Linked DNA regions of Alligator mississippiensis. The protein of the gene in region 1 purifies or fractionates together with the protein of each later gene. This does not show direct contact. Links are inferred from orthologs where the notes say so. Each region holds a gene or a part of one and is shown in the gene's direction. Other genes may lie near its edges. The genes, in order: ATF2 and ATF1.

Evidence for each region.
Region 2: the proteins of ATF2 (region 1) and ATF1 purify together in Homo sapiens (affinity purification with mass spectrometry; 3 studies listed by BioGRID and IntAct, with this or other methods). This does not show direct contact. The link is inferred for Alligator mississippiensis from reciprocal best matches to the Homo sapiens genes ATF2 and ATF1.

The regions. Positions count from the first base shown.
Region 1 is NC_081827.1:209,821,848-209,833,688, forward strand, and holds the start of ATF2 (cyclic AMP-dependent transcription factor ATF-2), read left to right. Parts: upstream 1-5,478; 5' UTR 5,479-5,576; intron 5,577-10,568; 5' UTR 10,569-10,601; intron 10,602-11,704; 5' UTR 11,705-11,746; intron 11,747-11,841. Other genes in the region: ATP5MC3 (ATP synthase F(0) complex subunit C3, mitochondrial), read left to right, coding at 1,217-1,331. UniProt on the Homo sapiens protein: Transcriptional activator which regulates the transcription of various genes, including those involved in anti-apoptosis, cell growth, and DNA damage response.
Region 2 is NC_081838.1:6,160,765-6,172,654, forward strand, and holds the start of ATF1 (cyclic AMP-dependent transcription factor ATF-1), read left to right. Parts: upstream 1-5,803; 5' UTR 5,804-5,818; coding exon 5,819-5,923; intron 5,924-10,666; coding exon 10,667-10,735; coding exon of another isoform or gene 10,736-10,779; intron 10,780-11,890.

The DNA.
Region 1 (11,841 bases):
AAGAAAGTATTAAATGATGGCGCAGTAACAAAGGTGTCATAGGGACATGTGTAGAATGTGGCCACTGACTAGCTAAATCAGACTCTCACTTTTTCAAAGCTGGAATTGGCACTGAAAAGAAACACAAATCTAGACTGAGCGACTTCACATTCTGTAGTGAACACCCAACATTATTAGAGGAACAGATTAGATGATGGATGTTGATATCTAATTTGATTTTATGCCCCTTTCTCCCAATTATCAGGGTTCTTTTAGATGTGGATTCTCACTACAGCTTTGTAGCATATCTTCTACTTAATGTGCCAGCTTCAACATTGTAGCTTTACTGTAGCAATTAGTTCCATAGCAACCAACTGATGTTGGATAGCAGACCTTGCTGCAGAAGCTTGAGAAGAGGAAAATCCTTTAAGAGGGGCAAATCTAATTTTCCCTAGTTATCTAGCAAATGCACAATTGTACCCATGCAGTAATATGTTCAAACTGCAACTGGTAACTGGCAGAAGTGTAAAATGATCTCTAGTTCATGGAGGTACTTCTCGCTCTTGCATCACAACTTGCAGGGTGGTAATCCATTAAAAACTTAAATATTCTCCTTCCCATACTTTCTAGGGAGATACTCTGCATTTTCGTAACAAATGAACCTGATAACGCCATCTTGGCTAGGGAGAGAGTTGAACAGCGTAGCTTGTTTACAAGCTGCTTAAAATATTGCAAAGGTATTCAGGATAGGTCTGGTTGTGCAAATGAACTCCTTCCTGTACTGTACACAAGTGGAATTTAACAAGAAAACCTGAGCTGATATTCCCTACCTGGTGGTTTTCTTTCTCCTGGTGAGCATATTTGACATGAAGCCTACACAGGCTAGGCTTTTTCAGTTGTAATTGAGTGGTGTAAAAATGTTGTGAATTTTTTTAATATAAAAGGGAATTTAGGGTTGTTCTATAATTGGACATTAATTTCAGAATCAAATTTAGTGATATGTAGCTTACATTATCTTAATGTAGTCTTCAATGAAGTGCCTGTAACAGTGATACTAATGTTACCTTTTGTATAGGTGTAGTTTGTCTCTCTTTTTTTGTTTTGTCTGCTATGACACTTTTATAGCGTTCTGTAAAACTTGCATCATAACCACAACTTTTTAAATTTATCAAATGATACTTGAGTTGCATCTTCATAAATATAAAGCATTTAATACCTCTCATGCATTCTCTTTTAGAAACCCTTCTCTGAAGCAGCAGCTGTTCTCATATGCTATCCTGGGATTTGCCCTGTCTGAAGCTATGGGTCTCTTCTGCCTGATGGTTGCTTTCTTAATCCTGTTTGCCATGTGAAGAGAGATCTGCTTGTGATGTTGGCATTAGTAAATTACAAATGTAATTCTGTGCATCTTGCCGGGACTCTCAAAATGTTGGTGTTGTGGAAATGTACATTATTTCCAAAGTCATGTCATTAAAGACTATCTCTAACTGTCTAGCTATGACCTTCATCTTTAATTCGAACACTTTGGATGGAACTGTTAGACACTTGTTTCTGATTTTCCCCTTAACACTGAGTGCTCATATGCTGACCTCCAGCCACACAATGTAGAACAGAACAAAAGTGGTGTTCTCTATTTGGTCACAATGCTGCATGTCACCTTTTTAGTCTAAATGCTGTGTGTCTACCACTTTGGCCTTCAAATCTAAAAGAGATTTCTTAAGTTTATGAAATTTGTAATGACTTCAGATAACACTGAAAGTCCCAAAGAAGGCTCCTAGCTGTTACCAAAACCAGCATTTTCTATTGCTAATCTAACGTCTGATTTAGTGGTTAGTATTGCCATTTTATACATGCTGAGGCTTATTGCACATCTAAGGATCTAAGCAATCTACAAATGACAACATTGCTTCATAGCTGCTACAAAACATGAAGTCAAATTGCTTCAGCGTACAGGCAACAGACAATTTGTTTGTTATGGTGAAGTCAGGGCAATGGTGGAAACTTAACAAGAACAAAAATTCTAGACCCCTTTTTTTGAAATGGGCTCTTTCAGGCTTGGGAGGTTCTTGAACAGTAACTTTGATAATAGCACCAATGTGAAAGAGTTTGATCATATTGCTTTCCTTGCTTAGAACCAGAGGGCCAGATACTTGCAGACTTTCAGAAATGATTGTTTTGAAAGCTCAAAGTATTTGCAGTCACTTGAAGGGTGTAACTTAATGCACATACTGTTCTGCTAACTTTGACCCTCCAAAAACATCTCTTCCTGCCATAATCTAGTCATTCCTGGAGAAAACTACCTGTACAAAGTACACACTAAGTGATGTGTATCATCACATATAAAACACAATTTTCTCTTGGTAGTAAAGCATATAGTTTCCTTTTAATATGGTAGGGGCCTGGGCCTGTATTAAGTTGCATTTGTTTTTCCTTCAATCTTAAATTAATTGGAATGAGTTAAAAACAATCTGCAGGGTTGTGAAATAGCTGCTCCTGCTAATGAAGCTCCTAAGAGAAAGCAGAACAAAGGATAGCTGTCAAGACCATTAAAAAAAGAGTTGTTAACATCTGTTGAATGAAAAGTTTAGAAGGAATCAGGTAGATTATAATAAATCATAAGTCAACTGACTCTCAGCCCTGCCTCAGTGGAAATACTGCTGCCACTAAAGTCAGCTTTAACTTTGGATGGATCCAAATTTCCTCATCCTTTCCTCATTCTTAGTGTTCACTCTCTGCCCTCTTTCTTTCCTGTTCCTTGTTTTCTCCCCATTGCCCTTGAGCATATAGCTACCTTTCCCTTGTCTCAAAATGGCCTAGATTTGAAGGGCATAGTTCATTGTAACTGGTGCTGCAACCCATGTGATAACAACCAGTACCTAACAAGAACACAGTAAGTGTCATACTGGGTTAGGCCAATTATCCATTTAACCCAGTAGCCTGTGTCTGACGGTCACCAAAATGTGTGTGTTGGAACACTGGTTCTCAACTTTTTAGATTTAAGGCACCCCATGTAAGATTTGAGGCATCTCTGCATAACTTTTTTGATTTTATTGGCATCCCACTTCAAAAACTAATTTATTACAGTGCTTACCTCCTTGCAGAGGAGTCAGACAATGGGAATGGTGATGTGGCTATGCAGAGTGATGCCCTTATTTGTTTATCTTCTTACATTTGCAATCTGAGCTTGTCATTACCTGCTTATTTCCTCACACTTTCTGGGGCACCCTTCAAAGGATCTTGTGGCACTCTAGGATGCCCTAGCCCCCTGGTTGACAATCACTGTGTTAAAGGAACAGCACTGAAGTTGGTATATCTAGAACAATCTATCCTATGTGTTACCCTCCTTGGTATCCAGCATCATTGTTTTAAAGATGTTAGAGAATATATCTCTGACTTCTGTTTAAAATAAGATTAATAATTTTAAAACATACTCAATGCCATTCCTTTAGTATTTGGCACTGTGAGGAGGTTTTTTTTAAGCTCTTGGAAGACGGGAAGTATGTAGTTGAAAGACATAAGCTCTCTATTACCTCAGAGTCCAAATCCTTCAAAACTCATTTACAATCAATAATGATTTATTATATAAAGGGCCTGCTTATATAATATGCCCTTTCTCCTAGTATTCCTAATTCTTAAAATAGTTTGAAAAGGACAAATCTGTTGCTTTACCCTCAATACAATTTAAGATATATTCCACGCCCTGGAGTAATGGGGGGGGACAATCTTTTTGACAAGTGTGCCACAAATTAGCCTCACATCTTCCCCAAGTGCTACTTTGCACCCTTTCCCCTCCCTGATCTGCTGCTCTGTTTTCTGTTTCCTGTCCAATCATATAGTTTCATATTTGGTAGGGTCGAAAGGGACCTGAGCAGATCATTAAATCCAACACCCTGCCATGGCAGGAAAAAGTACTTCGTCTAAAAAGGTGCAGGAAAAAGGTGTTCGTCTAACCCCTTAAAGACCCCCAGGGTAGGAGCCAGCACCACTGGAAACTTTGGGGGAAATTTTCCAATGGAAACTTTGGGGGAAATTTCAAAAAACAAAATTATGTAATGGTATTTCATTATTACATTAGATCAAACTCATCTTTTTTTAGACGTGCCAACTGATGTTGCTTATATGGTAGGGGGAGGGGGCATAATGGTACTGATCTCTCCCTTGTGCAGCACTTTGAAATCTACTGATGAGAAACTTGATATAAGATGTACGTTTGCCCAGGGCCCCTTGTCTCTCTCTTGCTTTAAATACATGCACAGCCCCTGCCATGTGGGGAAAGAGATTCTGGACTGAGGGGCACGGGGATCTCTGGTGGGTGGAGCAATTGCAGGTGCAATATTCCAGAAGCCACAAGGAAATCGCAAGCTGTTGTCTTGAGATTGATTGTATTACTGTATCTACCACCCAAAGGGTTTGTCCTAAGTTTTAAATGTATTTTTGTGTTCCTCATAGCTTCCCTATCTGGGGAAAGTAGTTGATGCAATTTGCCAGTGGTAATTGTGTAGATGCCCAGCCCTTGGAAACTTCATTCTATGGAGGGAAATATCATTAATTGGCTGTACAGGTTCAGGAGGCCCAGCAAGACAAAGGTCTGCAAACTAAGCCGTGGCTATAGAAAGGGAGGATAATGTGCACAATGGAACAAGGAGTCTACAAAATTATATGCTGTATCTGCTAGGCAGCTAGGGAGAGGATGGGTAATACCCAACAAGCTTACTCCAGGTATAAACTGTCAATTGTTTTATGTAAAGTTTTCTCTGGCATTGTATTAAACAAATAGGGCAGTACTCTGCTCTGTGAAAGCTGCCTGGTCAGGGGTTGAAGCTGCCGGTGTCCCTGGAAATCTCTGGATTTCCAGGGGCCAAACTGAACTTGGTCACAGGATGGAATTGCCTTAGAACTGCTGGGGGAAGAGGGAAAGGAAGGCAAGTGATGATGGGAGGCCAGAGACCTAAGCTGGGTATCTGGAAAGAGGCCACAAGATTCACAGGTGCAGTTAACACTGGAGAGAAAATACAAAACCTGTGTGATGAGAGAAAAGGGGCACTAGCATAGGTCGAGGGGGAACGGAGGCATAGGGTAGAGAAAGATGCAGCAATCCTTTTGGAGGGAGACGGGAAGGTGGGGATGGCTAGTTAAATAGGAATGGGAGGGTGGGTGATTTTTGGGGGGTGGGAATAAAGGAGCCCCTGCTGTATCTGATGAACTCAACCTCAATCTATCTTTTCAGTACTAAGCCTTAAAGGTTTTTTTGTTTGTTATTTTTAAAAAGCAACGCCTCAAGCACAAAAGGTGCAGTCTTGGTTTCCCATCCACACACTAGCGAGCGCAGTTCCTGCTTAGCTTGCGGCAGCAAACGCGCTGCAGCTCCAGCCACACCCAGTCATTCAGCGCTTCCGGCCACACAGACAAGTCCGGTGTCGCCGCGCGCCCAGCCCCCGCCAGCCAATCGGAGAGGGGCTGGGTTCTCTGCCCATCGCGGTGTCACGTGACCAGCTCCCCTAGCAGCGCTCGGGAGATGTCAGCGAGGTCTCGCGAGATGTGACGGAAGCCTGTGGGGGACCTGGGCTTTAATGTGCGGTTCGGGCCGTGCTCCGGGGGTGAGTTTGTAAACAGAGCGCGGGCCGGGTCGGGCGCGGCAGTGGTGCCTTCGTTCCCGCAGGCGACGGGGAGGCGCGGGCGTTGCAGGGCCCGGTCTGCGGTCGGGGAGCGGCCCCGGGTAGGCGGGGGTGCCCGGGAGGTAGTAATATGGCGCCGCCGCCGCTCTCCGGAGGGGCCCCCTCCCCCACCGCGGGCCCTGCCCCGCCGTCCCCGGGGCAGCGACCGCCCGCGGAGGAGGGTCGCTCGGGGGGGGGCCGGGCCGGGCGAGCCTGTCGCCCCCTACCCGGAAGCGCTGCGGGCCCTGGGGATGGGACGGGCCGGGCCGGGCTTCACCTGCATCCGCCGGGCGGTGGGGGCCTGCGCCCTCCGCGGGAGCCGCCGGGCCGGCCCTGCGGGGGATGCGCCGGTGAGTGTCTTACCTGCCTGGCCCCGACGCCCCGCTACTCTGCGAGGTGTCGCTCTCTTCCGCTCTGCCCGGGGACTTCTTGCAAGAGCTGGGGTCGGCGGCGGGGTGATGACAAGCTGCGGTGCTCCCACGTTGCGGATCTTCCCTCAGGCTTCCTGTGCTGCTGGGCTGGCAAGCTGCGGGGCTGGAGCTGTCACACCTCCTGCCTCCCGTTCCCTTCTTGCCCCAACCTCTTCACCCCCAACCCTGACCCCGAAAGGGACTTGCCCCATTGCACACGGGTGGTTCACTTCTCTGTTCCTCAAGCAGTTCATTCATTTCTGAAATAAAGATATTCTGCTCTTTCTTTGCCCTTCCAGTTAACACACACAAGATTATCTTTGTCCTCTAAATAAATGAGGCTTTTTGGGTGCGGCCTTCGACCTTCCATTAGCCAAATCTTGTTTTTTTCCTTCCCATGCTCCTGTGAATGAATCGTGGCAAGCACCCACTTTATTGCTTCAAGCTATTTGAGTTGAATAAGTTAGGTTGGACTTATCATGTATGTGGCTAATGAAAAATATTGTTGTGATCTGAGTTCTAAATTGTTGTGTTTTAGAGCAGTGATCCTCAACCAGGGCACCATGAGATACTTTTCAAGTTGCCACATACAAGCATGGTTAGATATGCAAGTATCTACAAGTGATTCATAAGCTAAACCTTGAGGTTTTTAAATAAGAATTCGTAGAGCGAGTCCAGCTGTGCATGGAAGTTTGGTAGCGGACCTTGCGCTGCATGCTGCCTGAGCATGTACTGCTTCAAGTTTTTTTCTGGGTTTTTTTGTTTGTTTGTTTTTTTACCCCTGGATATCTAGGGGTCAAAAAAACCCCACAATGAAAAAAAATGGAGCAGCGCACATTCAGGCAGTGCACCCTTGCAGCACAAAGAATGCTGGACTGTATGGTATGTGGTGCTGCAAATGTGCTTGCGGCACCATATACCATATGACTGTGCTCATTTGGATGTACCCATCGTGTCCTAAACGTTTTGGCCTGTTTTGGTCTTTCTCAGTTCTTTGAAATAGAATAATGATTCTGTTTTTCTGGCCTTTTCAAGTAAAGGCTAAGAGCTGACATTTTCAAGGGGTGCTTTGAGTCTAACAAGTTTGAGTGCCACTGCTTTAGAGCATAAATCACTATTTAAATGATGGGATAAGAAAGAAAGCTTCTGTATGGTCATTTTTTCCGTAATTGTTTTCCAGAATATAATATCTTGAACCATTTATTGAAGGATGTTTTGTACAGGTTGTTTAGAGAGACTTACTCACATTTATATGCACTTATGCACCTGCTTAAGGTTACTACTAAGAATAGTCTCATTGATTTTGGTTGAACTAGTCACAGTAGTAAAGCTAAGTACCTATGCGGGTACATAGCATATTACAAAATATAAGGGTCTCGCTGCAACCTGGTCCAAAGAAAACTTTACTGGGGTTCCCTGTTCCATAAAAGTTTATTGGCAAATATGATCATTAATTACAGAAATAACATTAATGAAATAACATTTTTGGAGAAGTGGAGTGAGTCACCATGTTCACTGATGAGTTTATATTTGGGTAGTTAATATTGCACAATAATAGGTCATTATTATAGCCTGATTCAGAGAGCAGTAATATAAACTTCTTGGTGTATTTGTTCTGGATTTTATAGGTGAACTATATCTTCTGAGTACTGTTTCCTACTCAGAAATGCTGTATGATTTGATTATATAAAATCTTTTGGTTGTATTTCCATTTCTACATCTCCGCAGCACATTCTGTGTCTTATAAAGGTTACACTTAGGTAATACTGTATTCTACTGACTTTTGTCATTCAGGTATGATTCAGGTGTGCTTATGCCAAGGTCCTGTTCCATTATAAGACATTAGTCTGTTTTTCTTTGTGTTAATTGCATATGGATACCTAGGCATGGATCCAGAAAGATGCATCTTTCATTCGCACTTGGTGTCGTCTTGGTTTTGATTTTTCTGAGCTCAGCTTGTCCCTACACCACTTTAAAAACATTTAACATGTAAAGTTGCCACAAAAAATTTGCACTGGAACAAGCACTGTGTGGTGTACACAACTCACCTTAAATGTTTGGTCATATTACTTTTACCTGTTTTCCACCACCAATCCTTCCCTGTTGTGGTGACACCCACTTGTTGCATTTTTTTGTAAAGTAGACTCTTAAGTTTTTGTGGGCTAGGACTGCTTTCCTACTTATTTGTACCTCTAGCTCAACAAAACCCAATCTTTACCAGAGATTTTGAATGTTATTCTAGAACTTAATAAATAAGAATGGAAATGATATATATTCTGAAGTACAGACTGTCTTTGTATTAGTGGGATGTTGTTAACCTAGAAATTACAGTTCTTTCAGACATATCTTTATTATTTTCACAGGCAAGATCAAAGATAAATGCAACTAAAATACTAAAGAAATTAGAGGGGTTTTTTTTAGTTTTCTGTTACCAATCTGACAGGTCTTCAAATATAATTAATTCAGTTCCTGCTTTTTCACATAAAAATAAAACAAAAATATGAGTGAAAAGCAGCAAAACAGGACTTGAAAGCAATGGGGTTGTTCCCTCAAACAACTTCTAATTCGTCTTTTTAAAAGTGATTGGATTTCAAACTGTTTGCCTCATAGTTAACTGAAGTACGGATGGGGTATCAATGTATATTCAAATAGGAGATAGAACTTTTAAAGATATCAATTATAGTATAATCATATTAATGTGAGAGAATATTATGAGACTTTTCAAGTTTGTGTCACATTGTTTCCAACAGTATCCTGTGTTAATTTCATTTTAGACTAACATGATTGCACCCTCCATCAGATAGTCCAAGTGACACAGCACATTTTTGGGAAGATTGTTCAAGTGATATTTTTGATTACTTTTTGAAGGACTTTGCCAATCTGTTTTGAAGAATGTAAGCCTCTCCTAGTGTGATGGTTCTATATTGCAGATGTTCAGGAGTGTTTATTTGCATCAAAATGTTACCTATCTCCCCATTTCCAAAAGCAATGGATATATTGAGAAACAAACAAAATGATTTTTTATTCTTGCAGAACTAAATTATTTTTATATTTTCAGACCCTGTTTATCTTTTAGTCTTTATCATAAGTTGATGTCAGTGATTCTAGTAGCTTCAGTAAACAAATGTTCTGAACAAAATTTAATACGTACATTTATTTATTCATCTTTTTCTTTTAATCTCATTTTTGCACCCACTTTCTGTTTCATTTTTGAAACTTTCATTTGTTTGACCTTTTATCTGATTCATAGTTTCAGCTTGATTTTGTTTTTTGCATGAGCATGAGAAGTAAGCCCTTATAATAAGAACAGTAATGGCCTTTCTATTGGTTGTTCACACAGAGACCCTTCATCTTCCTTTTCAGCTCTGTCCCTCTTTTACCAAAGATATATTTTCATTGTTTCTCTGCACATGCCCTAGTCCTTTAGTTTTGCTGCCAGTGCTGGGTTTGGAAGCTGGAGTTTTTTGCACTTGTTCGTTTGATAGGACAAATATTGGTAGGTTCCTTCTTGTGTTTCGACTTGGTAGGCAGAGTAACTAATCACCAGCTTTCAATTTTTTTTCTTCCTGTCCAGCTGCACTCATTCTATAGGCTGACTCCACTGTTTTCCTCAGTTTATCTTTTGCCTCAGCTAGGCAGGTGCCTTTGGCCCTCATGCCTCAGTCAACCGACTGTTAGGCAGAAAATCCTGTGGTTATACGTACCCCGATATCTTCATGCTATTGCATTATTACCTTCCATCTTACTGTTCCCTGTGATCCATTGGAACAGGCACAGGTTTCAAATCTTCTTCCCAGGGCAGGCAAAAAGCTCTCTTGCAGCAAGGCACGTGGTTGCAGCAGCATGCTAGCAGTCTCTGGCTTTCTTTTCCTTCAGGTGGTAAATTCTCTGCCCTCTGCTCACATTTTGTCCGGGCAGTCACTGTTAAATGCTTTGACTTCTTGAGGTAGATAGCTTGTAATGCCGGTCTTCTGAGCACTCTTCATGACAGCTAGTATTTCAAAATTAATCCCATCCACCTCTTCCAGGCTCACAGGCTTCAATGGTCTTTCCTCTGCAGCGGCAGAACCTGGTTCAGAAGATCCACTTGTTTAAGGATTCTGAAACACTAGAGAAATCAGCATTGAAGCCCCCCTCCAATTTCTCCCACAGTCTCAGAGCAGTTCTTCTGTCCTGTGCTGGAAAAAAAAATGCACGGGAGCTAGCTGTTAAAGACCCTGTAGCTGACAGGAGAATAACTGTTGGAAACCAGTAATGATTACTCTGCCTAGTAAATTTGAAATTGAATAAAAATCCTATGGTCAGGTTGTAGAAGTGTAATTAGCAAGTAGTGAAAATCTCCATTTTTCATATATATTTTTAAAAATTCCTGACCACTTCTTTCCACTTTTGTATTTCAAATCTTATGATAGTAAGACACAGCATGTCTCTAGAGTTAGAGGTTTGGACATTCCTTTAATAATGACTTTTTTTTTAAATGGGAAGCAGTAAGTACTTATTTTGTTTCAACTCTTCTGTGTTTTAGGAAACTGAGAAAAGCTGTTCCAGCCTCATCCAGGTCAGTATAGTTGTGACATTTTCTTTAAACTGCAAATACTATTTTTTACTTTTAGTTAAGCAGAATAATTTGTGAGATTTTTCCAGGTACAATCTTATATAATTAAAAAAAATGAAAGTTAAGGCTTTCAGAAGTGCATGGTACTAGTCTAACTTTGTCCTAGAAATTTATAGGAACAGAGATGAACGAAAGCAGAGTTTATTTTAAAAACTTTTTAAAAGTAGATCAGTCATTACGCTCTTAAAGTATATAATGTTGTTCATTTTGTTTTGATTATCTTATTCATCAAAACAGGCATCTTTGTACTAAAGATGAAACTAAAGCAAATGAACTTGGGTGCAAAATATTTTGCTATTGTGTTTTTCACTCTTTTCTAGTCTGCATTATCTGATGATCATACTTGTCATCATAGTCACTTGAATAGTTATTTTGTCATATTTTTAATCTTGGTTTATCTTTTCATGTAAATCACAAAAATCATTGCAGGTAAATAAACCAGGAATTAAATTAATCTTATTTTAAAATGCATTTTCTTTATCGTCAGCCAAAGCTAACTAAGTAAACACTTTAAGGATATAATTTTATGCCCCATCAAAGGCAAGAGGTTGTCATTATCTTTTATTAAAATAATCTAAAATATGTTTCCAAGTGTGCATTTGGCCACTAGCAGTCATCAGCACTTATATGTTTCACTCTTGGTTGGGTAGCCTAGAGTCTCATAAAAATGGCTAGTTTCCAGAATTAAATGTAGTATTTACTTGTATGTTGTCAGCACATCATAATTTTCCTTTATGGACTACAACCCATACTGGTAGAAGAGCAAGAAGGACAAGTTAGTTTTGTAGCGCTCTGCAAACCCCCCCCCCAAAAACGTTCGATATAGTGTAACAAATAATCTGCTTAATGATCCCGCCACTTCTACTACTTTTTTTAAAGAGATTTAAAAACAGATACTTTGGCCTGATGAGCATGCTGTGCATTTTTATAGCACTTTGTATCTTCAGAGTACTTTACAAACATTAATTCATTAAGATTAAACATTAGCTTTTAAAGTGCATGTGTATTATGCTTGTTCATTCTGTACAGTGAAATTTGCTTTGCAGTTAAATGGCCCAGGAAGCTGCATACCATCTGATATCGATACTGTAAGTTTTGTATTGTATGAAAAAATAATAACTTACTTTTTTCTTGCGGATTAGAAGCACTGTTTCTTGGCTCTAGACTCACCTATGCTATCAGC
Region 2 (11,890 bases), on another chromosome or scaffold:
CTTAAATTAAAATGCCCCCCTCCCTACCTCCTGGAGCATGTGTATAAATGCCAGTGTTTGCAATAATTAATTTATTTTTCTTAAAAAATTATATATATAAATGGTATAAACGTGGTTCCATGTTCCTCATTCTTTTTTTTTGTAGAGATAGTAGAGGGTGCATATGTGCAAATCTATTGCCTAAAAGATTAAGGTAGTAGTTTAGAATTATGGCTTGTTTCAAGAAATTAGAACTTAATTTAAAACAAAATTAAAACTGCATATGAAATGTTATACCGTATTTATAAATTTAATCTTAAAATGGGGAACATTTCAAGGGTTGCAAAAGTGGAAGATAATTGTGTTTTAGAGATCACTAGCAGCTATGGTTTTCTAGGACAAAGTGAATACCATACACAATACTTGTTTTATTTCACACCTAACAGATGCTAATCTGTATAGTGTTATAGAGCTGGTCCAAGAGTAGAAGTATCATGAACCTTGCCCGTGACCAGCACTATAAAGATTATTACTCTGGAGTTTGCCTCCTGCTAAGTATAGTGAAATGAGCAAAATGGCAGTGTGCCAAGAGACTTTTCAGTGACCCAAACCACTATTGCGAACCTGGAAATGTGTCAAGAGGTTTTTTCAATTTGACAGCCTTTCTTACCAGCTAATTTTCTGGCTGGAGAGACTTCATTCCTAGCATGTCTTCAAAAATTTGGTTTTGCAGCTGTACCTGTACCTACATGCTCCAGGGAATATGAGGGAAATCTTCAAACTTATTTATGGTTTTTTCACAACAGGACTGTAGCACATAATGGCCAAACCTTGGGTTTCTGCTGGTTTGGTCACTTCGAAGCTGCAATCCAACCTCTGCAGCAACCACATAGCAACAAGCTGATTTATAATTACCTCAAGAGACTAGACATTTCAAAACCCTAATGCTTTCTTCTTAAAACAGAAGAAACTTTTACAATCAAGTTTATATATAAAATGGTAACACAAGGAATATTTTCATACAAGATTTTAATGGAAATCATTACTGTCATGTCAAATGTAAGCCAAAACTTAAGAGACTTTTTGAAAGGAAGAAAATTATTCCCAGTAAAATATTTCCATTGTATTAAAATTTTACTGGAGAATTTTTTAGAAAACAAACCTGCCTCTCTACTAATACAATACCACATAATGTTAGTATAGGAAAATAAAGTTACTCAAAACTGAATAGGTGAAACTGATTAGACATTGATTAGTTTTGAAACTCAGACAATGAAAATGTAAGCATTTCGGTATATCTTGTTAAAGCAAGTGTTTTAAAAAACTACAAAAAATTAAAAGTGGAAAGTGTTCATAAATCAATTCTTGTGAAATGTCTGAATATATTAAATATCAAACTAATATAACTATATAATACAAAAGTGGAAAGATGACGCTCTTCAAGGTTCTGATGACATCAGTATGAGACCTTTGCTGTCATGGCTACCCTGTTATCACTGGAATTCTTTTGATTTGCGCGTAGCTGGAAGCTGTATACTGTGTGGTTTATGTATGTACAAAGTACAAGTCATTTACCCTCTATGCAATGTAACTAAATCTCATTTAAGAGCCTGACTGACACTCATTGAAGTCACTGGAAAGATTCCCACTGACTTCAGTGATTAGTTGGATCACGCTTAGCCTGCTTCCATTACAGTAAATGGCTAAACTCTGACTAGGACCCAAAATGTAGCTGTGAAAGGATCACTGTGAAGAGAAAGGGAACATTACCTGTTAGTACTGTACAGCTTTTACTTGTAGCTCTCATTCACTCCTGAAATATTTGTGTAGATAAAAATGGTAATCTATACTTGCGTTTCATCCTGAGATTATCAAGAACTCTAGCCGAGAGATATTGCAACATTTACACGTTTGATCTTTACTCTTAATGTAAGCTGCAGTTATTATGCGGTGAGGCTAACATTAAACTTTGTCCATTTTCAGTGGTATAACTTTTTATTTTAACCCGTACTGAAATAATGCTAATGTAAAAAAAAACCCCAAAGTAGCACGAATTGCTTAAAATTACATGTTTTATTACAGACACGCAAATATACCAGTCTAATGGACATAAGATATTTTTGCTTTGGTATGTTACGCTAATTAAGCTGTGCTGAGATTGAGTTAACCACTGCTATATATTACATACAAGTTTTGTGACAGTATTCAATGTTTGCTTTATTCATGTCTGTTTTGTACATTGATTCCATTTTTCATATTTCAGTTGCAAAATAAAATTAAATGCTTTTATTCTTGTTTTGACAAGCGATTTCTTGAGTATGAAATGTTGTGAAATTGAGTTGTTCAGAGAGGCTCTCAAAATATAAGGTCTATTTTAATTCTTACCTGTTTGTTTAAATAAGTTCTCTCAACTGGAAGTTTTTCTTTCAGCAACCTGTCAGGCCAGTTGCTGAGGCTTTTCATTCTCTTGTGCAATTTGTTTGCACTGTCTACAGTGCATCAACTGATCTTTATGTAAACAGAAGAAAAGGAACAGTATTGCAGCTTTAAACTAGTAGAACGTTACCTTTTGGGGAAAGTGCAATTTTGAACGCATCAAAAGGCACAATTACAGAGACCATAGAGACTAACCACATGGTAATGTTTAGGTATTATTAGTGTATTGTGTTCTAATTTTCTTTTAGTGAGAAATTTTTTACAGGTATCACTAACAAATTGCAATTATCCATTTGTGAAACATGACTGTTAGAACTGTATAATCCCTTCAAAAAAGGAAATGTATACAAAAATCATTTGTATATTAATGTAAATAAACAGTTGTGCCATATTGCAAATAAAATAATAAATCTGCACTTGGGGGGAAATTTTAAGCACTAACCAAAAGCGATGGCTATAGTTTTTGTTCTCTCTCTAGACCCAGTGTCAGGAATGTTTTTGGGCAGTGCCAAAAAAACCCGCAACCTCAACTTGTAAGAAGTTGCCATGCCAGGGCCAAGTGGCAGCAGGGGGAGCTGGGAGGTGCCTGATCCTTGTGGCAGTGCAGTCCTAGCCCCCTTCCCTGTCATCCATCCCAAGGCACACATGCCAAGCAAAATGCCTTCATGTACCATGCTTTGGTACGCATGCTGAGGGTTGCCTACCCCTATCTAGACTCTTCTGTTGGAATAGTAATCCCTTCCAACTCTGGAATTGAAGTTGCTCAGCAGAATAAGTCTGTCTCCCTCCAGAATGTCAGAAAGGACCTCGTGAAGGTTGGCATAGAATTCCTCCTTGGTTTCAGCAGCAGCATCAAGAGTTGGGACAGATGTGCTGATGGCAGCGGTGCGTTTAAGACAGAGTCATGAGGCAGTCAGTTCCAACATGGAACTTGTTGAGTTGGTTTTTGGGTTCATTCTTAATAGCAAAACCACCTCTGTGAAGTAGGCACTTTTCTTCTTGTTTATCCTTCCAGAAGAGTGTATAGCTGCCTCCTCAATCTTGAGTTGCCCACCTCCCACTCACCACATCTTGCTCATTACAGCTATGTCAATATAGTTCTTGAGTGCAATGTGGTGCTCTAGGCAGACAAGGTTCCTTGGGTGAATTTGATATCTTTTATTAGACCAACTCTAGGCATTCGCTATTAGGATTATCCATGAGGGTCCTGATGGTCAAGCTCAAAATGTATTTAGTGTCTTCACAAATTTTGAACATGGACAACGTACTAGAAACATTTCAAGTCACTAGAGAAGTACCATCAACACTGCCTATGAAAGATCCTTCGAATCCAGTGGGAAGACAGACGTGCCAACATCAGCATCCTCTCGCAAGTGAACACCCCGAGCATTGAGGCGATGATCATCTGACATCATCTTCGCTAAACTGGCCACAATAGCTGGGCGTCCGACTCCAGACTCCCAAAGCAAGTTTTATTTTCCCCAGCTCAGTTGAGACATATGCTGAAGAAGGGAGGGCAAAGAGTGCTTCAAGGACATCCTCAAGGCCAACTTGAAAAAAGTAATATTGACATTAACTTGTGGGATATTATTATCACCCAGGACAGCCCCAAATGAAGGAAGAGTCTGCTGCAGGGATCTCAGTGCTTCGAAGCTGCACACAAACATTTGAAATCATGCAGGAGCTTCCTTATCAGCACCCAAGGAGACATGACTACTGATGGGGAATGAGATGCTGAAGAAAATACCTGACAGCTTAAAAAGGATGTTCCAGCAGCAGAGTCCTTACCACCAGGGGCTCACGAACCATGTCTCAACCGCCTCCGTATCGGAGTCAGATGTTCCAAGGAACTAATGACGAAGCAGGTCTAGACCATTAGTTCAACTGCAGCACAGAGCCTCAGACTGCTTGAAGGCACGTGTATAATGAAAGACCTCATAAAGTACAGTAAATGTGCACAAGCGCATGTAACAACATAGACATATGTGATATAGAGACATAAGTACTTTGAAACCTTACAATGACAGCAGGAGCAGCAAAAACATGGCCTTCCAAGGGAGGCAGTGCTCTCCCCTACCTTGGAGGTCTTCAGGAGGAGACGGGACAAGCACCTGGCTGGGGTCATCCGACCCCAGCACACTTTCCTGCCCACAGCAGGGGGTCGGACTCGATGACCTACTGAGGTCCCTTCTGACCCTAATAACTTTGAAATCAGATCCACCCCCCGGGCACAGAAACATGCCCCCCAAGGTAGGTTGGCCATCATAGAGGACATCTCAGTTTTCTGCTACTTTGTTTTCTACTGATACAAAACCCAACGCCTTTATGTCCTCTATTTTTCTCTTCAAGAGCTATTGATTGATTTTTTTCAAGGGAAAAATAGAGGCCATAAAGGCGTTGGGTTTCGTATTAGTATAGACACCTGGACTGTCCTCTATGATGGCCGTCCTACCCCGAGGTGCAACATAACTTATTGATCCCGGATTGGCCTTGTTGGCCCTCTTCAGACCCGCCGATAAAGCAATCCTCCTCAACGCTGTGGGGTTGCCAATGCTGACGAACAGTACGGGTAATGTACGTGGAAAAGTTTCTGTACCTACCTCTGAAGCGAACAGGAACTCTCTTGCAAACCGGGGCGGCTGTTTAATTTTTCACGACAACGCCGCGCCACTTCGGCAGGAAACCGGCTCCATTTTGTGCGCCCCCAAGAGGCAGGGACGCGGGGCGACGGTCCGCCCGAAGAAAAGCCCGTCCCTCTGCTCGGAAACCCGAACCGTTTTGATTTGAGGATTTTCTTTGTCCCGTGATTTCCTAGAGGCTGCTTTCCCAGCGTTAGACCCCAACGCCTCTCCGGGCCGTGTCCGGCCGGGCCTTCAGCCGAACGCCTGGGTGTCCCCATCCGCCCGCCTCGGGCTGGTGCCCCAGCCCCTGCTTTGAGCTGTTTCTGAACGTCTGGATGCTCTCCTCAGCCGGGCCTAGCAAGGCAGCCACGGGCTACTGTGGGTTGGGGCTTTCCCCTCAAGGCAGGGCTCGCACATGAGCTGCCTCAGAGGGGCGAGGACACCTCAGAGGGGTGACGAGGCTGAGGCGAGGACACCTCAGAGGGGTGAGGGCGAGGAGGCTGAGGCGAGAACACCTCAAAGTGGCGAGGAGACTGAGACTGAGGCGAAGCCGCACCCGCAGCTTCCTCAGGGGAACGAGACGCTTTCCCGCCCTCGGAGCCAACATGGCGGCCGCCCGCTGCGACGCTCTAGCCTCGGCCTCCTGGCAGAACTCGCCTGCTCCGCCTCCCACGCTGGGAGGGAGCCGCTCTAGCCGGCTCCTCCGTGACGCGCCCTCGAGAACTCTATGGTATGCGCTCTACGCCAGGCAGCACGTCTAGCCCGGGCCTCCGAGGGACTCGATGGTCGCGGCCCGCCCACCGCGGAGTCCCGGCCGGGCCTGCGGCGCGGACGATGCCGGCGGCGCCGGGCTGCTGAGGCGGCGCCAGGGCCGCGGGGCTCGCGAGGTAAGCCTCGGCCGGCCCCACCAGCCGCCGTGTCCGCGCCCCGGGCGCCCGCGGCCTTGTCCGGCGCTGTGCCCGGCCCGGGGCACGTGCGGGTGGTTCCTGAAGTGGGGGGGCGTCGCGCCACAGACCCCGGTGCGCGGGCGCGGGGGGCAGCCGTGTTTGCGCCCCGCCAGGCCTGAGGGGGCCGGGGCGCTTCGCGTCGGGGCGTAAAGCGCCCCAGGGATCTGGTTCGTCCGCCTCCACGTGCAGTTTGGGTGGGAAAATCTGTAACGAGGAGCAGGCCGGGCTTACTCGCCCACCGGCTTCGTGGTCAGGAACACGGTAGGTCGGCGTCGCCCGCCGCTCCCAGGTTTGCCGTCGCGTCGCTTGGTTCGTTTCTTGGACCTTAAAAAAAAAAAAAAAAAAGGAAAAGTCCCTCCTCTCTTGTCGGGATTACGGATCGCGCAGGCATTCGGGCGGCCGCAAGACCGTCGGGTCCCCCAGGGGCAGGAAGTCGGCCGGGCGCGAAGGATCGGACTCGAGCTAGTCGGTCGAGCCGAAAATCGGTGACGTCTGCGATCCCGCCGAGACGAGCGTCCAAACGTTTCTTGGACGTGTCCGGAGTAGGCGCTTGCACCGCGTCCGTGGGCAGGCTCGGACGGTGAAGATGTTTGTCCTTACGTCCGGCCTAAAAATGGTCTTGCAGGAGTTGGCGAGCGTCCCCGCGGTGAGGAGACGTCCCCCAGCTCCTTGATGTCCTTGGTATTAATCGATACACAACAAGTAAATGCACAAAGTGACTCGTTTTCCAGCGAGCTGTGTCGTATGTTGCTAGCGCCACGCTTGTAGGTGGGCCGTTTTCAATGCTCTGTTTTAAATGTGAGGATGCTCGTTTTAATATAATCCTTTTTTCTTTTTCTTTTTTTTTTTTTGGTGGCTAAGCCTTAAAGACCCGGGTCTAGAAATGGCTTACGAATCGTCAAGAGACAAGGTTTTTGTGGGGTCGTCATCCAAATTCTGGCATCGCTTCTTCTGGGTATACCCAGGGGCTCCCTTAAAAAGTTGCTCTGTGGCTAGAGCATTATGTCTTGTTTCTCCAAGTGGGAAACCCTCCCTCCACATAAATGTTGGTCTGTTACTCGGAGATAAGGAAAAGTACTCCGTTGTGATTCGTGCTGTCTGCTTTTTGCTCAAAGGTTGGCTGTGTCCTTGGGGTGGAAACTGTTGTGCTGCCTCTTCTGCAGCGTTCTTGTGCTCACTTTTTTTTTTGCAGCATGTTCCCAAAGGTGCTGGTTGTTTCATTGTTTCCTGGGGTTTGTTCTCTTTCCTCCCCCCACTTCATTGCAGCCATCGACTGTCTCTTCTCTTGTTCTTAAATCATAATGCCCTCAGTAGAGGAACTGTCTTTCTTTAAGGAGTGGAAGGGTTGCTTATTATTAAGCACTGGACCAGGACTGGGAAACCTGGGTACTATTCCTGTTTCTGCCTCTTGTGTGTTGGGAGGCCTTGGGCAAGTCCTGTCACCCCCCTGCCTCTGTTTCCCCATCTGTAAAAAGGAGATGATGCCAGTGACCTCCTTTTGAGATCTGTTGATAAAAAGTACTGTGCGTGATTTGAGTAGTGGCATTTTTATTATTTTATACATGTCAGAGCCAGGGGCCTGAGCTCTAAGCACGGCTCTTAGACCCATCTGTTACATATTGAAGGAAGATTCTTTGCTAGCTTCCTGGCTTGTATTTCCAGGACTCCTTCTCATATTGCATATGCTTTTCACAGATTTCCAGGAAGCTGTAGGTCAGCTTTCATTTGAGTTTCTTCCCAGTTGCTGTCTATTGGATGTACAGTCTCCTGAAGTATCCAGTATTCAAGTAACATGTATAAGACTTTAACAGCCTTTGCCTGTGGAAAAGGGACTTTCCTGTTGAGGTTTCTGCTGGGGTTTTGGGAATGTTTTTCCTTAAAACCGTCTCATGTCTGCAGTATAACATCATTAGAATTAACCAAATTAGTGCAGTACATTTATACAAAACTCATACTTGAATCCCTTTTAATGTTGTCATTCAGTATTTAAAACTATCCTGGTAAGACCAGTAGCAGATTTGACTTGGGAGAAACTTTGAGATCTTTAAAAATTGATCAGCTTCTTCAGATATTTCAAAATCCAGTAGTTGGAATCCTCAGGCAGGACGCTTTGTACCTGAACGCTTGTCTAATATCTTTCCCAACTATATGGTTGGTTCAGTAAAAGATGTTACCAAAGAAACCTTGCTTCTTGCATAGACCCTGAACCTGTCACGGCCACAACAAAACTCCTACCATAATGCAGAAATGAGTTTGAAAGATTGGTTCTTTGGAGCAGATGTGTTCTGCACAGTGCTTGGATTTCAGAGTCGGTTCATTTAGACTAAGATCCTCAAGGAAGTTTTTTCTTTTTTTGTAAATGGTCATCCCTACCTACAGTATTATAAAAATAACTAATTATTTGTCTTAAGCATCAGTCCTCTGGACAGTGCCAATCACTGCAGCGAATTCCCTACTTCCAGCTTTCCGTGTTCCATGAAAAACTTTTCCTTCATCCCGAAACTATGTAGTTGGCTTCCTCCAAACAAATGTTTTATTGTTGTTGGAAGTAGTTGTGGCTGTGGTGTTAAAAGCTGAAATGCTAGTAAATTTTCCCTACTCAGTATGCAAATCATTCTTTGGCTGAAAACTTGTGGCTTGAGGTTGTTAATTAGAACTGTTTTTCACCCTTGAGAGTAAAGGTCTTACTGAATGCTGAATAGGTAGAAACCGCTGTCTTTTAAAAATATTATTAGAAATATCTTCCGCAAAAAGCAATATGTTTTCCAGACAGATAATCTGCTTTAGCAAAGCAGAGACCTCTAGAATTTGTTGCACGTCACTGGGTAGTATATTGTGCTTCCTTATCCTGTGGAGGATGCAAGTGCCACAAATCAAATACACAATAATAGTTGTTTGCTTGTTAAAATAGTTTGCTGTTTCTTTTCATTATTGACAGTTGTTAGATAAGCGCTTTTAAGTGCTATCTGAAATTAGAGAGACAGTCAACTTAAAAGTCATTTTTCTGGCTAAAAATACAAAGGTAACACCCAACAAGAGCAAAAACGCCTTGCTATATTTTTTTAGTGAACTCTTGAGCATTTCAGATTGACTTTGTTTTTATTCCATTTAATTGTTTAGTTAGAGTTAGTTTGTCTGTGTTGCAGCAATTCATACAACAACAGGACAGAGTGTTTCAAAATAAGAAATGATGTCTTGAAAACTAAAGGAATTTACTTGGGGTTTTCTGGAGTGCCAGAAATTACTTTTAGTGTTTTTGCATTTGACTCAATTTCAGTGTGATGGTTTCCTATTAGCAAAGTGGCACGGTGTAGCTGAACAGAAATGCAAACTGCATGTTTTTGTTCTATAAGAGTAGAACTGATTTTTACCACTTCTTTCATATCCCCTTGTTTTGTGCATTTTGTTAGGACTCAAATAAAAAAGGGTTCACGGCGCTGCCTGCGTGTCTATAAACTGTCTTACATTTTTGGAAGGTTCCAGTTGTCTCTCAGCGGTGTCAGATTTGACCAATTCTTAGTTTCTCTTTTGAAGGTGCTGTTTCACACATCTTACTTACTGTTCCCCTCTCATCAGTTTTCTCATTGCCGAGCCTGATCTTGCAACTTTACTGAAGTGAGTTCTGTTGACTTCAGTGCAATTTCCCCAGATGAGTAAGGATTGCGAGAGCAGGCCTCTAGACTTCACACTTACTGACTTTTTACCCTCTGCGTGTACGTCAAGCTGCAAGAGCTGTGGTTGATCTCAGTAGGGAAAAATCAATGACTCACGTTTCCACAGAGAGAAATGTAATTTCCAGTCTCATAGCAACTGCCCTTGCAACTGTTTCAAACCTTGTGTGACAAAACATGTAATGCTTACAGATCATCTTTTAATGCCTCCATCCAGTCTGCCTGCTCACCCCATCCAAACATATGCATTTTACATTACACAAAAGCTGCTGATTTACAGCTTTTACATTAAAATTATGTTGGATGGTTAAGTATAAACAGTGAAAAATCTGAGGAGGGTGCCCTTGACTTCTGAATATACAGATCTGGTTAATTTTTTTTTATGATCTTAAAAGTATTACATTTTGTGTACTGAATATGCTCTTACACTTGGAGAACAATGCTGAATGTTTTATGACAGTTTTCAGTGATAGTTCAATAAATAGATTGTAAAATCTAGTGTCTGCTTTCTGCTGCTTTGCATCCAGAGATGCAAAGGAATTAAAAGGTAGGCGCATAATCTTCCTTTCACTTAATGGATAGATCTGAATTGGTCCTGAAAAAGTTGAACTGCAGAAAGGTTAAGGCTTCAGAGGCTTAGCACAGCACTGAGAGGCAGCATCATGGGGTGGTATTCTGGCTTTTCCACTGATTCAGTCTGTGGGTTTGGGCAGCTTGCTAACATGTCTGTTTTTTGTTTTCCCCATATGTAAAAGGGGAGGAAAACACCTAAGTATGTCAAAGGAGGATTGTGAGGCTTCATGAAAAGTGCTTCCTTATCTTCTGGTGGAAGCTGCTGTAGAAGTATTAAGTAGCAGTATTAATTATGGCTGGGACTTTCAGTTAAGCTTGACAGAGCGAAGCATCCCAATCCTATTGAAAGTTAATGGAGGTAGGGGACCTCACTCCCTTTGAAACTTCCAACTTATATTTTATCCATAACTGAATTGATTCCTTATTTATTTTCTTGTAGTTGATATGGAGGAAGTGCACAAGAGCAGCAGTAACAGTTCAGCGACACCTCCACAAACCACTGTACAAGGTACAACACTACAGGCAACTCACCTCTCTCACGTTGCTCAACAGGTAAAGCAAGGGCCAGGCTACAGCAAATATTTCTTAAGAATTAGGTTAAGAGCAATCTTTTGTTTTTAAGCTAAGTGGTTTGATAGGGGGGTTTTTTTCTTTACATACTCAGGGAGGAAGAAGACAAGCAAGTAGAATTGTGAGAAGCATGCCGGTCGTTTTTTTCAATAGACTCCACAGAATGAATATCCTTGTACCTTATACCATTTCAGTGCTGAAAATTTGTAGCCATTTTTTCTTGTTAGGTTTTAAATATTCAGAAATGTTCACCCAGCCAATCACTGAGGTAGCTCAGCAATATGCAGAGGGCATTTGCAGCTCCCGTGAACATCAACCAGAGATATGGGCACACAGAACATCTAAAGCACTTTTTATTTTGAAGCATTTGGGCAATGTCTGTGTTTTCTCCTTGCTGAGCCCAGGATCATTTTTAAGACACAAGCCCTGCCCACTAGTTCTCACTCTGCTTGTGCCTGATGCCAGCATTTAAACAGAGTAGGTGGCTTTTAGGGTCCTAAGTGTGTACCGCACTGCCTCTGCAAGCAGAGAAGTAATGTACATGTGGCTTAGGAGTGGAGTAAATACAGTTGGTTTGAGATTTTGTCTACAAATGATCTCTTATATCCCCATTGAATCTTCTTTAGTAAAACTAATAAGTGGAAGACTGGGAATGTTGTCTTTGTCCTTGACAGCTTTTTCCTAAAGTACAGTAACAGCATTTTAAGAACTCATTTAAAGTGAATGGCATGTTTCGGACCATTTTATCTAGAAAAAAAAATGTTCCTGGAGAAAGTCTGCTCTTCCTTTCCTGTCTGCAAATTGGTGCTGTTTTGTAGTTTACCTTCTATGTGCAGTTCAGATTTTAATGAGAAATTTAGATATAATTTGAGGCAATAGGTGAGTAGTGAACATGAGCGAACAGATTGCAAGCAGGTAGCAAAATATTTATGTGCATGTAGGATGACTACAATAATTTCACATTTTGACTTGAGAGAACAAACTAGCATTTAAAAGGAAGTTAGACCACTGTATGAGTATATTCTTTTTCTTTTGAGAGAGAGAGTTTTGGTTCTGATGATGCCTTCATCTTTTCTAAAACAAATAGTACAGG